2 linked regions of the Lepisosteus oculatus genome follow. The protein of the gene in region 1 purifies or fractionates together with the protein of each later gene. This does not show direct contact. Links are inferred from orthologs where the notes say so. Each region holds a gene or a part of one and is shown in the gene's direction. Other genes may lie near its edges.

Evidence for each region.
Region 2: the proteins of sec16a (region 1) and sec23b purify together in Homo sapiens (affinity purification with mass spectrometry; 3 studies listed by BioGRID and IntAct, with this or other methods). This does not show direct contact. The link is inferred for Lepisosteus oculatus from reciprocal best matches to the Homo sapiens genes SEC16A and SEC23B.

Annotation. Positions count from the first base shown.
Region 1 is NC_090719.1:5,263,474-5,271,118, forward strand, and holds the start of sec16a (protein transport protein Sec16A), read left to right. Parts: upstream 1-4,635; 5' UTR 4,636-4,788; intron 4,789-7,645. UniProt on the Homo sapiens protein: Acts as a molecular scaffold that plays a key role in the organization of the endoplasmic reticulum exit sites (ERES), also known as transitional endoplasmic reticulum (tER).
Region 2 is NC_090712.1:10,771,565-10,778,862, forward strand, and holds the start of sec23b (protein transport protein Sec23B), read left to right. Parts: upstream 1-4,279; 5' UTR 4,280-4,463; intron 4,464-5,699; exon of another isoform or gene 5,700-6,033; intron 6,034-6,764; 5' UTR 6,765-6,777; coding exon 6,778-6,998; intron 6,999-7,298. Other genes in the region: cystatin-2-like, read left to right, coding at 1,029-1,235, 1,317-1,427, 1,557-1,631. UniProt on the Homo sapiens protein: Component of the coat protein complex II (COPII) which promotes the formation of transport vesicles from the endoplasmic reticulum (ER).

The DNA of each region.
Region 1 (7,645 bases):
GGTTTCAGCTTCAACAACAGGGCAAGGTAGCTTGTTCCACGCTCCCACACAAAAACAGCAGACACAGGATTACATCACTGCTGATGATTAGATCACTTCAGAGCTTTCAGGGCCCAAGTTTCTGTAAACCTTTACTATCTTAGCTGCTTCATCCAGCACCTCATTAATGTCTTGATTTCCTCTCCTTATCTTTTCATTACACCTCTCCTTGCTTTGGTAACAGGAACAAAAAGTTAACTTAAAATCTACACTGAAACTGTAACTGTAAAATCCCATTGGCCTTCTTTAGACATTCCTTCTCAGGAAACTGACTTTCCAGACCAAATGAAAAGCTCACTGTTTCCACTTTACTTCCAAATTTTCTTTTTCTTTCAAAACCTTCTTGATGAAAAATATTTGTCTTACCTCCTGGCTCAGTTAGCATGGGAGAGAGAAGGAAGGAGCTTCATGACAGCTGAGCATTGATCTCAGCTGATCTCATTGATTCCTCCATCAAACATTTCCTTAACCTGCTCATGGGGGCTTTCTTCAGGGCACGCATGGCTGCAATCTGAGCATCCGACTTCCTTTAGTTGTGAAGATAATGTCATGTTGGGACGCAGGCATCAAGGGAGAGACCACTTTCCCTTGTTGCAAGCGTGAGAGACAGCGAGAAGAAAACATAGAAGAATTCAGTACAGTACACGGCATTATGGGTTGTAAATAACCAATCTTTGCAGCAACAAATCCTATTAGATCAGCAGAAGTGCTGACCAGGAATGAAAATTCACCACTCTATTACCTCTATTAATTATATAAAACTATCATTTATTATTATGACTAAGCTTTCAAGGAGACTTTTAAACTGTCATGATGGAATGGTGTAATGTTTAAGAATGAGCTACAGCTGCACAGAAATGGGATTATTCACCATTTGCAGCAGAGATGCCCAGTTTTAGATCCTGTTCAGTGGGGTTTACAGGTCTCATCAGCACCTGAAGAGCTAGGAGAACCTCTTTCATCCATCCATTTTCTACACTCTTCTACAAATTCAGGGTCATGGGGGAGCCAAAGCTTATCCTAGCAGGCAACAGGCATGAGGCAGGATAAGATAAGATCACTTTATTGGCCTTATGCAATTTATTGCATTAGGAATTTGTGTTTTCACATACTCCGACTTGCTCTCCATGAGTTACACAGACAGGAAGAGAAGCTTGGGGAAAGAGCACAGGGTCAGCCATTTATACGGCACCCCTGGAGCAGTTGGGGTTAAGGGCCTTGCTCAGAATTCCTCTGCCAGCCACAGGATGCAAACTGATAGCCTTCCAACCAGAAGGCACAGATCCTTAGCCACAGAGCCACGGCACCACCCCTGGGACACTACCTTCAGCAGGGCAAACAGAAAACAAAAACAGACACACACACTTACACCTTGAGCCAATTTTCTCAGAAGCCTATTAACCTACTAGCATGGTTTTGGGCTGTGGGATGAAACCAGAGCACCTGGTAATTCACGGTCATGCCTTTCAGACTGTGTAATGCCCCGGTTACGTTTTAGCAGTTGATGGAGCGAGTGCTGGCATCAGTCCACTAGAGCGAATGCTTTGTGTATCTAGACAACCTACTCGTGCATGCCCAGGGTTTCGAGCAGGCTCTGGCGAACCTCTGGTTAGTGTTGGCTTGCATCCGGCGGGCCGGGTTGAAGCTCAACCCTGGGAAAGGTTACTTTCCTGGGTCATATGGTTGGCCCGCGAGGGGTGTCACAGACCTGGGGAAGATCGCTGCAGTGCGTGACTGACACCATAGCAGAGCTCTGCAGTTTCCTGGGGTTGACGTCTTATTACCCGAAGTTTGTCCGGGACTTTGCCAGCCTCACCCCCCCACTGCACCGCCTTACGGAGAAGGGGTGCCGTTTTGTGTGGGACATGGAGTGTGAGGGGGCCTTCTGGGGGCTGCAGAAGGTGCTAGTGGGGGCCCCTGTCCTGGCCTTCCCAGATCCGACGCTACCATATGTGCTAGATACTGACATGATGCAGGGGTGGGCGCAGTACTAGCGCAAGAGGGTCTAGATGGGGAACGGGTCGTTGCATATTTTAGCCTGGCGCTCAGCAAAGCAGAGAGAAACTATTGTGTCACCTGGAGGGAGTTGCTGGCTGTGGTCTCGGCAGTCTGCCACTTCAAGCCCTACCTGTTTGGAACTAGTTTCAAACTGTGGATGGACCATGCGTCCCTCAACTGGCTGCTAAATTTCAAGGAGCTGGAGGACTGCCGCTACTGCGCCCAGTGGGAGCAGCGTGAGGAGGCCACCCGTGGTTGGGGGGAAGCGGCCATTCGGTATGGACCTTGTGAACCTGGCACAGCAGCAGCGGGAGTACCCCGACATTGGGCCAGTGCCCCATTGGAAGGCAGCTCAGTTGGGAGGAGCTCACCTCTCACACCAAGTCCATGAAGGCTCTCTGTGCTCTGTGGGAGGCCTTAGAGGTAAGGGACGGGGTGGATACCCTCCAGCGGCAAGGTCAGGTGGCAGCTTGTAGTGCCACGATCGCTCTGCGGGGCAGTTCTCCAGGCGGTGCACGGTAAGCCGGGTGTGGGGCACTTCGGCTCCGCGAAAACCCTGCGGTGACTCCAGGGCCACTTCTATTAGGGTCTCTGCCACTGGGATGTGGGGCGTTTCTGCCAGACGTGTGCGGTCTGCGAGGCCCAGAAGGGCCCTCCTGAGCGCCCCTCCAATGGCACCAGGTGGGGGAGCCCATGGAACAAGTGGGGGTGGACATATTGGGCCCATTTCCGGGGACCGAGGTGGGCAACAGCTCCGTCCTGGTGGCAGTGGATTATTTTAGTGGCCCAAGGCTTACCGCCTCCCGAATCAGAGCATGTCCACCATGGCCGATGCCCTGTTGGAGGGAATGTTCACTAGGCTGGGGGTGCTGGAGGAGCTCCATAGTGACCAGGGGTGGAATGTCGAGTCTTAGGTGTTCGTGGGGGTGTGCCAGCGCCTGGGGATTAAAAAAACGTGGACCACCTCGCTGTATCCCCAGAGCGACGGGCTGGTGGAGCATCTTAACCGGATGCTCTCCACTCAACTGGCCACCTTCGTCTTGTGGCACCAGCGGGACTGGGACCGCCACTTACCTCTCACCCTCTGGGCGTACCGGACCGCTGTGCAGGAGTCCACTGGGTGTGCAGGAGTCCACTGGGTGCACTCCAGCCTCGTTCATGCTGGGAAGGCGGGGGTGCAGCAGAAGCGGTATTACAATCTGCGCTGCAGAGGGACTCCTTTCAGACCGAGGGACCTCGTCTGGGTCTATAACCCACGGGGCCGCAAGGGGCTCGGCCCAAAGCTGGCGCCGGCCTGGGAGGGACCCTGGGAGGTCGTGGGGGAGCTCTGCTACCGTGTCCGGCTCACGGCTTGGGAAGCGAGGGAGGGTGGTGGTTCTGCACCGAGACCGCCTGGCTCCCTCCAGGGCTTGCGAGGGCTCACTTGAACGGGAGGGCGCAGAGGAGTCTGGGGAGCAACCAGGTCCAGATTTCACCGTCCGCGGGGCCTGGAAGATTTTGTGTTTAACATAGCCAGGTTTGTTGCGTTGCGGCCGAACAGCACTCGGCTAAGGTGCGCAGCGAAGGGCAGGATGGGTGTATTAACCAGGGCGAGTACTAAGGGAGCCACTGGCCAGTGTCACTGACCATCTGGAACAGGTGTACACCACTGTAAAGGTTGTCCAGATCCCTGCGATCCCCAATTTTGCATCCCCTTTTATACCTGTACCCACTTACCACCCTATACCTACGTACCTGTACCCCAAATGACCCTAGTGTGTTGTACCCTGCTTTCTCTGGTTTTTACTTCCTCTGTTGTTGTTGCTGTGCCGGACGCACGTCCGACTAATATAGCACCGAGTTCTTAACTAATAGAGCTAATTAAGTTCCTGTTTCCATCCTCGCCAACCCCGTCGCGCTACAGTACTTTAGGAACAGGAAAACACATTTACAATGATCAGACTTAGTTAATTCCCAAGAGGCTCAACAGTCCTTTGAAAACACAGACAGACGGTTCACATTATAGATTTGCAAATTTAGTATACTGTATTTAAAAATTGTGTATTTACTGTATAAATAACACAATATCATTTCCTTGCGCAAACGTAGATAATAAAATGTATTTGTTCATTAGCAGATAAATTACATACTTGCTTTCTCATAACAGATTTCGATGTTCGTCACACTATAAGCATCCATCGCATCGCATGAAATAAGGTCTTGAGCCCGGTATTGCCCTGGACTATATTAACAGGGTTGTGTATACACTATGTCAATTATTTTCTTTAAAAAAACGGACTCGGTCCAATTTAATATCTCGGGTTCAGATGCAAGTTCATCTTTTCTTACAAAAACATTACACGTTGATGTACTCTAGGGGCGCACTGTTCGATATAAATCGTCCATTTCCGGTAGAGCTCGGATCGTGCCTCGTTCTTTTCTATTAAAAATAATTATATTTCTTTTTAAATCATTTAGACGCATATGATTTTATTGTCAACAACCAAAATAAATACAATTATGCAAAATTACAACATTAACTGCAAATTGTACATGGTTCAAGGCCTTCGACTGTGACGCCACGGTGTTTGGGATTGTGACGTTAGAGGTACACGTCGCCTAGCAGGATGTAGCTCTGGTTGAAGATGGCGGCTGTGTGTTTGCCTCACGGTTCTGCAGTCTTGTAGGAATTCCTATTTAATTCCGCTTTACTGGCCGAATTGTGTTGTTTCTTTGTCGTCTCCAGGAGGTCGGCGATCTCGTTCTTGAGAGGTAAGATGGATCGAGATGTACAAGCGGTGTGGTGCAGCACTGAGTTCAGATTTGTATAATGGGACTGGGTCGGGATTACCCTAGTTTTAAAAGGCACAAGATCTGTTATTATTCCCCCCCCCCCCGGCAGAAGTGGGGGCTTTAAGGAACTGACAGCGCATCCTGTTAAAGATCTGGTTTGGCATCAGACCATCGATTATCGGCGAGTTGGACATCTTCACTCTCCCCAGTCTGATGTACAAACGGGCTTCGTGAAAGTTCGGCACTTGCCTGTTGCAGACGTTCAGTTAATCATATGTGATGAGTCGCCGATATCCTCTGCTTGTTGACTTTAAACACGACAGCAGCATGTTAACGATTTGCTACGAGTCGCCGCTTTTAACGGCAGGTTTCGCAGTGGTGTTAATTATAAAATTGCTTGAAAAATTTAAATGTTCCCTATTCGATATTGAAACGTTCCTTCCAAATGTGTCAAATAAATAAAGCTGGAGAAGATAGTCCTTTTCGCTATTTTTTAAGATCGCAAGGTCGGGTTTGATCTTAAAAACATTTGAGTATTAATTTGAGAGCTTCTCACTATTTGCTTATTTTTGTGCGGGTGTCGTCTGATAACATCTTAAATTTTGCGTTTGTTGTAGCTCTAGTGAGGAACAGAGTCCTTATGCTTTGGACTTTAGTTTCTACGACTTAGAAACCCGATAGGCACCCTGACTGCAAGTGCGACTTCAGTAATTAAGTTGTATTACAATATTGTAACACACGAATAATAAGGATTTAGAGTTTGGAAACCAAAAAAACGTATAGGTGTTTGTTGTGGTGTTCGATAGTAAAGAATTGAAAATTGCAAATCGCTAAATTAACCATTGCAAAATAACCTGATTCGTCTACATTGTATTGTATTGACTCATGATGCTTTTGAGAGTTATTTTAGAGCAACAGTGCAACCGACGGGCGCCAATAGATGAGGGTGAGAAAGTTAGTCCTAAAGCAGCTCTTTAAACGCTGTTTGTGAGGACTACATTAGCCACAGAAACGTCGCACACCTGAGGCTGACGTGGAATTCCATCCCGTTATTAGGAAATGCAAGCTGCTTCACAGTGTACGCACAACCCAGTGGAGAAATCTATATGTGTGCAGTGAATCCGAAGACAAATGTCTATAGGACTACGAAGGAGGTCTAGTTACTGGTGGTTGAATTTTTTGCTGTGGAAGCCAAAATGATTCTATATAATATTAATTTTCCTGTGAAGGTTCCATATACTTCTTTCATATACTGAAAGAAGTATAATGAGTCACAAGTGGTGGGAGTATGGATGAACCTACCATCCATGTATCTGAGGCTGATATCCTGGCTTCCTTCAAGAAATGGCTGGATGAGATTTCTGATCAATGAGTTACTAACCAAAAGGGTTAGGTGTACAGAATATACACTTTATCTTGTAAGTCACAAACCACTTTCTCTATGATATTTGGAGTATATTTAAAGACGAGCTGCAGTCCCAGTTTCTCAGGCTTGTTATTAAATCTTGATAAAATAAATTCATTGACGGTATAGACAAATTGAACAAATTTCGAAATAAGCACACAATCGTGAACTTTGTAAAAGTACTGAAATGTCGCTGTGCTGTTGCACACCCCTGGTCTTGCTATAGACGAGAGCATGATTTCTCACGAATTGTGACGTAAAGCAGCCCCTACTGCTCCCTAGTCACTGTAATAACTAATGTAATGTGCAAATTAAGCACAGGTTGTGCAGCCGGCATTTCACCACAGAAACTTTCCAACATAATCTGCAATCAGTTTATCAGCAAAACCATCTTGAAGACGAGAGCAGTATTTCTCTTGGATTAAAAGAGATGTATTCACAAGCCTGCTTGCTCACAGTGTAATAGGGCCCCAACACGTCACCAGACGTTTTGTTGCCTTGTTCCAAATCGCAGAATATGATGCTGCGTCTACCTTTAAATTTTATTTTGTGATGTAAATTGGAGGATCTACAAGTTACTGTACATTTTACTTTTATTGTGGTTTGAAGGGCACTGATTTTGTAACCTCAAAATATAAAAAAAACATTGCATTTCCCCTTTTAAATATGTTTTTAAACTGTGCAGTTTAATGTTGAGGTGTTCCTGTTAATCACACAGAATATCCCAGCCTCCTAAATATGCAGTACTTGAAGATCACATACTGTAATTCATGCAGTCACTTTGTTTGCACAGGATCGTGGTCTATTGTTGGTAACCCAGTCTCTATAAAAACTGTCTTAATTAATATTCAGTACATTCCTCAAGAAATTATTAATGATGTCATCATTGCATTTTTGTTGGGTTCAAAGATCCAGCACTCATTTTGCCATGTGATAATGTATCCATTTAAATAAGAATAGAAAGTTCGCTTGCCATTCTTAATGTTTTGCAGCCTCTCTTATTAGTGAAGGGGCAGTCATCTTATAGTTGACAGTTGTAAAACTTGCAACTTGGGAATAAATAACTCAAGGCTTTGTCAACACTGGTGTGACAGATCTTTTGGTGGAATCACTGAATCCCTAACTAAAAAGCTGTAAATCTTAAATAATAATATGGCTTTAGTTTAAAAAATATTGAAGAACTACTGTGGCAAGTGTACAAAATAGATAGATAAGACTTTATTGATCCTGAAGGGAAATTGATGTGTTACAGCAGTCTGGCCCAAGACAAGCAAAAAAACAGACATCGGAATAGAATACAAATTATAATATGTACAGTAATACAGAGTAAATATAAAATAAATACATAGGTGTGTACAAAATATGATCTTAGTCACTGTAAAAACAATAAAATATATGCAAAATGTGCATAGGTATAAACAGATTGAGTGT
Region 2 (7,298 bases), on another chromosome or scaffold:
TTAAACACAATTATGAAAAAGAAAATAAGAAACTCAGTCTTCCAAAATGAATATGACGTTATATAAAAAATAAAACTCAGCTTTATCTTTAAACTCTTTTTTTTAACAAACGTGGCAGCAACACAACAGAATAATGCCTTCTTGTCGCGACAATGCCTTTACAATGTGACCCGCCCAAGCAGGGATTTTAAAATCGGTCAATTACGCAGTTGCTAAGTGCTTACACAGGTGATGGGTGTGTCAGAAATTTGGCATAAAAGCGACAAGCCACCAGAGCGGTAGGGCCAGTGTTTTGTTTGACAAACAAAAGTACCAGCACTAAATCACAGGAGAAGGTAAGTATTTTCACCTCCTATTTCAAGTGGTTTGTTACCTAAAGAACAGAATGCTACGCACACGAGGGATCTTTCTGAGGAGTACACTGCATTAGATTTTGCTTATTATTTGATTGTTGGTGCATTTCCTGATCCTTATCGCGCTTTGGCTTCGAAACAAATGCTTACAGACCTGTATAGAACGAGACCAATTATTGCTATATGTGGAGATTTGTGAAACGCTTTTATTATAAAGGTTAATATGGTAAAGCAGATAAATTGTAGATATTCTTTATGAATATCATTTAAACTTTTAGGCTTCGTTTATATACATAGTGTGTATGTTTCTTGTACTTGTATTATACAGTTCAACTTCCTTTATTGCGTGATATGGAAAAGACCCTTGCAAAAATCGTTAGAAACTGTTTCCTGACTTTTTAAAACTTCCTGATTTTTATTTTGTTATGCTATAGCATACTAAATATCTTTTCAGTGATGGATTGACTGCCACCATTAAAATAAATTTAACCTTTTATATTTAGATAAAGACTTGTATTAAAGTGATGGAGACTAGACTTTGAGTTATGTCAACATTTCTAACACTCAACATCCCCAGCTCATGAAATGTTCTTTGGTTAGAATGACTCTGTACACTTTGTGATGTTAGTCTTCATTTTTTCTTTTCAGTTTATTACTTCAGACTAATCAAGAAGCATGGGATTGGTGTGGTACAGTTTCTGTGGGCTTGTGTGCTTTGCATTCCTTAAGGCCTCCACACAGATGGTGGGGGATATTCGAGAGGCTTCTGTTGACGACCCAGGAGTACTTAAAAGTGCTCAGTTTGCGGTTGATGAGTATAACAAAGCAAGCAACGACATGTACCTCAGTAAACTAATTGAGATAACTTATGCAAAACAGCAGGTAACCAGCATTTCTTCTTCATCATTTCATTTGTTGTTGTTGTTGTTACTGCTTTCATGACATTTCTTTACATTTCAATAGGTTGTTAATGGGATTAAATACTACCTTGGTGTTGAACTGGGACACACAGAGTGTGAGAAAAGGAACTTCTCTGATGCGTGTTCTTGCAGTTTGCCTCCCAGTCAAGATCAGGTGAGAATGGGTTGTCCTCCTTTTGTATCGTTTAGGCACATTAAAAAGTATTGATATTTGGAATGCATACCTGTTGAAATTGTTTTTGCAAAATAACTGAGTTTCTTTTTTTCCCCTGCTCCCTTTTAGACAATATTTTGCCGTTTTGAAGTTCTAGTAGTTGCCTGGAGAAATGAAACAACCCTGTTGAGTATGAGCTGTTAGCCTGAAAGCTATTGAAAATTTGCACACAAGTGTAAATGAGCTATGTTCAGAAGTGGAAGAAACTTGAAAAGCACCTGTTTGAAAACTATTAATCTATTTCCTTTTACCTCTTTGGCAATGTTAATGGTGTTCCCTAATGTTCAAGCGATCTGCATGTGAACCAAATTGATTTACTTTTACTTTTCTGCAGTTTTAGAGTTGCAAAGAAACTTTGTAATGTATTATGGAATTTCACTGGACAACTTCATTTTCACATTCTGTTGGCTTATGTTTACTGCATATCTCTTTCAGGCATCTTTGAGAAACCAGTTTCATGGCATGTTATTCAGACAAAGTCCTGTAGTACACTTTGCAGTGAGAACTATGTTTAACTCTGTTATTCCTTTCGAGGAGGAAACACAGCTTTTAAAAATGTCAACTGATACAATAAATTCTGCTTCAAAAATTGTAAGACTGGTTAATTGAAGACCATTGCCTTATGCCCTTGTTAAATGAAGCCACTGGTGTTTAACTTGCTGATTTAATTAAACATGGAACTTTTTCTCTTAATTTCTTAACTGCCCATAAGTGAAAGAATTTACTGGCACCTGAAAGTGACTTGGTAGACTGTCATTATTGGGGGAATTACTGATTTATACAAGTTTAAAAAAACTCCTCAATTTTTTGAGGTTCCATTGGCAGAAATTGTAGCCATGCATCTCTCTACATTATTATTGCATATCTGGATACTGCAATTTTTGTTAATCTTTTTCAAATTCCAGACATTAAATCAGGGAAGTGGTGATCTAAATGGTAAAGAATCATCCACTGGGATTTTGATCCTCTTCTTGTAAAGCCTGGATCTGCATATCTTGTTTATTGGTCTATGAGCTATATTGACCATTCTTGTTCATTCTCCAAATCTTGCATAAAGCTCAAATTCTCATCTTGCAAAAAAAAAAAAGTAATTGCTACAGGAGTAGCATGAGGATGTGTGTTATCACTTAATCTGCTCAGTCACAGGAATTGATCAATTTACAGCCATGCACTCATGTTTCATCAATTACTGCCAGTTGAGTTCTCTACTGATTGGACCCTGTGCCTCCCTGTCAATTGGTCTGCTGTACAGAACAGTGCTTTTTTCCACGTGTCTGTACTATATTTGCAGTTGGAAGTTGGACTAAGACACCTCAGTATATCGGTATACCATTGATGGTAAGAAGGCACGGTTGTCTTGATAAGCAGGACATCCTGGTACCTTTCCCTTTTTTTTTTTCTACACCAATGTTGATATACAAGAACTTAAATCATCAGATTACCAGTGCCCAACCTGTTCTCAAGCGTGAGGTGATTTTGTGCTTATGCAATAGTGCAAACCACTCCCAATTGTTTCAGTTAGGAATTATCAATTAAAGGAATTTCTAACAAATACAGAAAAATAACAGTAAGGATGTTGTTCTTCAACTCCACCACTCTAACTTCTAATCTTTTATGATGTCCTTTCCCCCATTGCCCCAAAAAAGTAAGATCTATGCTTGCTCAGGTTAATTTTCTTTAGCATTCCTCATCCAGCCCATCTTCAGCTTTGCACCCTTGGGTCATTTCACTTGACATGGGCTCCTAACATCCTCGTTCTACAGCCAGGTGGTTGGACCTTTATTCACATTTCAGTAAACATTTTTGCTTTTTATGGCTGGGTGTTATTTTTCATGAAATCTAAATGATGCCTAAACTGGTTCATATCTAAGGTGTGAATAAAATATATTCATAATTTCTTTTGATACTTAGCATATATATATTTTTAAAGGTAAAGGCTTTGATGGAGACTATAATTTGCATTAAAAAAACATTAGGTGATTTTATAAATCTCTCTTCAATGTATAAATGGTACAGAAAACATGTTATTTTCATCCAGGTACTTTAATTTAAGGCCTAGTGCTTTTAGGTAGTATTGTATTCCTAGGTGTCATATATGTTTCAGATTGTGTCATGTTAAGGGATTCCATTATACCACACTGTATCACTACAACATGGCTCGAGAGTCCTGGAATCAATTCAGACCTGGGTGTCTTTGTGAAGTCTGCATATTCTCCTCTTCACCTTGTTCAAGCTGCTTGATTCAAGTGGTTGACTTGCCACTTTAAATATTCTAATTTGGAGACTTTTTTCCCAGTTCAAGCTAGACTGACTGTGGGACTATAGTGAAACAAAACCCAATTTCCTTAATAGGACAAATAATTTTTCAATATTTTCAAAGTACATCACCTTATGGGGTAAGGTAAATACAGTACTTCTAAGAGGGTTAAGGGTCTTGCTCAGGGGCACATCAGAGTAGGATTCTACTGCCTGCTGTAGGATATGAACTGGCAACCTTCCAGCCAAAGGTGCAGACCCTTAGCCACAGAGCCACCGCACCGCCCAACTACATAAATAATACTGAAGAAAGCTCCATTCCTTCAGCGTGGAATAAACCTTTACTTGTTCCTTTGCAGCCTACGCATGCAGATGCAGCAACCACTTGTACAGAAATAATGCCGATGATAATGACGTTCACAAGCGCTAGGGGGAGCTAATCAGATTTAGCGTTTCTTTCTCTTGACGTGGCGAATTGTAATTGCCGGTGACATCATGAAGGACGTTAACCAATAACGTTTGAGCTGAGGTGGATTTCCTAGACCGGTAGTAACACGTCATTCCACGGGCGTCCAAGTAGCCGGTGTTCACTTCACATTCCTTTCATTCCCAGAGTTATTCCTTCAGTTTGTGTTTTTTTTAATTGTTCTTTCATTCCGATCTTTAGGTGTGATTGACAGTAGTTTCTGTCGTTTTTTTCACGTTTGTCTTCTTTTGAAGGTAGGTTCGGTTTCTTAGTATTTGTAGGCCGCTGATTATCTCGCTAAGCCTGCACCTATCCTAACATTGATCCCGGTATAGGAAGGTAGGAAGTGGGGTGAGGGTTAATGGAGTAGAGCTTGCGAGGGTTAATAAGCACCGTGTTTTAACCTTGCCCGATGTATAACAACTACAGTTTAGCAGCAAGTTATAACATGAGTAGAGTCTTATTCTCTTTGTACAAATTATATTTGTAGGGGGTTAAATGTAAGATACTACTGTGTGTGGAAAACAAATCACTAGATGTGATGAAGAAGGAGAATCGGAATCGCAGTATCAGTTCTTGAAATTGTAAGAGATTTCCCGTATTTGGAAAACCAGTGTAGCTGTTGGGGCAACAGCTTTATTACCAGTTTTTAAATTAACCAGGTTATTGATAGTTCAACATAAAATATGGGAATCTGTAGTTGGTGCCGACCCCAGTTATGTCTACGCCAACATCCTGTTAGCAGGGAGTGGTGTTTGGAAAGGGGAGTCTTCCCCCCTGTTAAATTAGGTTATCTTGTGGCTGTTATCTGTCTGTATTGGGCAGTTCGGTTGTTGCCTTTTGTTTACTGGTGGCAGCTGTTAACAACCACTATTTTCGTTAAGAAAACGGATATCGTTGTTAATTCAAACTTAAAACTGATGGGATTTGTTTACCTTCAGCTGAGACTTGTGTGTGTATATATCCATTTTTAATAAACATGATCTGACAAGCGTAAATGTGAAAACTGACAGGCAGAAAGAGAACGTAGCTCGTTTACTAGTATCAAGCCAATTAAAACGTGAGAACCGCATCAGAATTTAGCCGAGTAGAACATGTTCTTATTCCGTGGAGTAAAGATTCGGCTCATTGTAAGGAATACTTGGTTACTAAGTGGAATTATAGAACGACCAGTGGTGGCTCTGTGGCTAAGGATCTGCCCCTGTGACTGGAAGGTTGCCGGTTCAAATCCCGTGGCCGGCAGAGGAATCCTACTCCGTTGGGCCCCTGAGCAAGGCCCTTAACCCTAACTGCTCCAGGGGCGCTGTACAATGGCTGACCCTGCGCTCTGACCCCAAGCTTCTCTCCCTGTCTGTGTGTCTGTGTCTCCATGGAGAAAAGCTGGGGTATGTGAAAAGATGAATTCCTAATGCAAGAAATTGTACAGGGCTAATAAAGAAACATTATTACATTATTACGTTCGTGAAATGGTAGACTTTACTGAACCATATGGTTGCTGTTGAGAAATGCCCGAAAAAGCGTATTTGCTGGATTTTGCTTAGCACAGGTGTGCTTTCTAAACTGAAAATCCAGGTGTGTCAGCTCTGACGCACTACCTGTCTAAAAATATCCCATTGAAGACGGTTTTACATCCGGAAACCTGTCTAACAGGTTTATTTTGACATCATAGCTGTTTCTTGATTTGTCCATTACGTGCTAGTTTCTGGACTATTAAAGTCACAAATATGCTTTGTAAGTAGCATTTTCTTTGTGGACCTGTACAGTTAAGGAACGGAACCGTAGTACCAGAAAGCTGTTCAGCAGTTGTGTGGGTTGTCATTATTGGTATGTAAATACTGTCTTCTTTTCGACATTTGATCATAAGACCTAGCTGGGTTTCTTAGTAGTATTTACCGCTTAATAGATATTTTCATATGGAACAGAGCTTTTTAATTTAGATTTTTTTTTTTAATTGTCACGAACTTAAAATTGGCTGGATTCGGAAAGTTATTGAATTGGTTGACTTAACCATTTTGAATTTTTATTTGTGATCTGTGTTTACTCAAAAACAAAACTGTTGTCTAAAATACACAAGTAATAGGTTGCCATTTTGCAACTCTTTATGGCTTTTCTTTTATTTCTATTGCTTTTTTAAAACAAGGCACTTTTTTATTTTTCACACATTAATTTCATGGCCAGTACATTTTCTTGCCCAGGAGTGTCTGCACTATGAAAGTTTTATAGGTAACTTAAGAAGTGCCTACAGTAGCAGTGCAGGCCAGTTGAATAATTAAGAGCTCTAGTGACTCTGAATGTTACCAAAGCAAAATTATTTAGATTAACTTTTCAACCTATTATGGATAGATTCAGAGTGAGATAAAATGACTGGGAAGTGTAAGTCTCTGAGAGAGTTCAGGTGAGATGACTCCCAGAGTTTAATATGGGAATGTGTATCGCACCCCTGGAAAAAGGGAAGTACAAGACAACTGGAATGGTAGATGATAAAGAACAAGCGTTTTTTTTTTGGTTGCATCATTTTCGAGCGGCTCAGGTTTATGATCTTGCTCTTTTTATAGCCTGTCAGATCTCATGGCAACATATCAGGAGTTCATCCAACAAAACGAGGAGCGGGATGGGGTGCGGTTCAGCTGGAACGTGTGGCCCTCGAGCCGTCTGGAGGCCACCAGGATGGTGGTGCCCCTCTCCTGCCTCTTCACCCCTCTGAAGGAGCGTCCCGACCTCCCTCCTGTGCAATACGAGCCCGTGCTCTGCAGCAGACCCAACTGCAAAGCTGTGCTCAACCCCCTCTGGTATGCTGTCTGTTAAAATTTCAGCCATGACATTTCTGTGTAATCATACCCACTATGACGTTTTCTTTATGAACCGTTTCACTGGAGTTTCTTCCAGTACTTTCACAAGGTAGGACTGACGGAGCTTAAACAAGAATCCTCAGCTTTGTCTTTTCTGATTCAGAATTGATTTTCACATTTCTTTTATCTGAGGTCCTTTGGATTACTTTGAACCTCATAAAACTGGATTTTGAAGACCGTTATATGCCTAAAATTATGTAACATTGGGGAATTCAAGATACCCTTTTCACTTAATTGGTG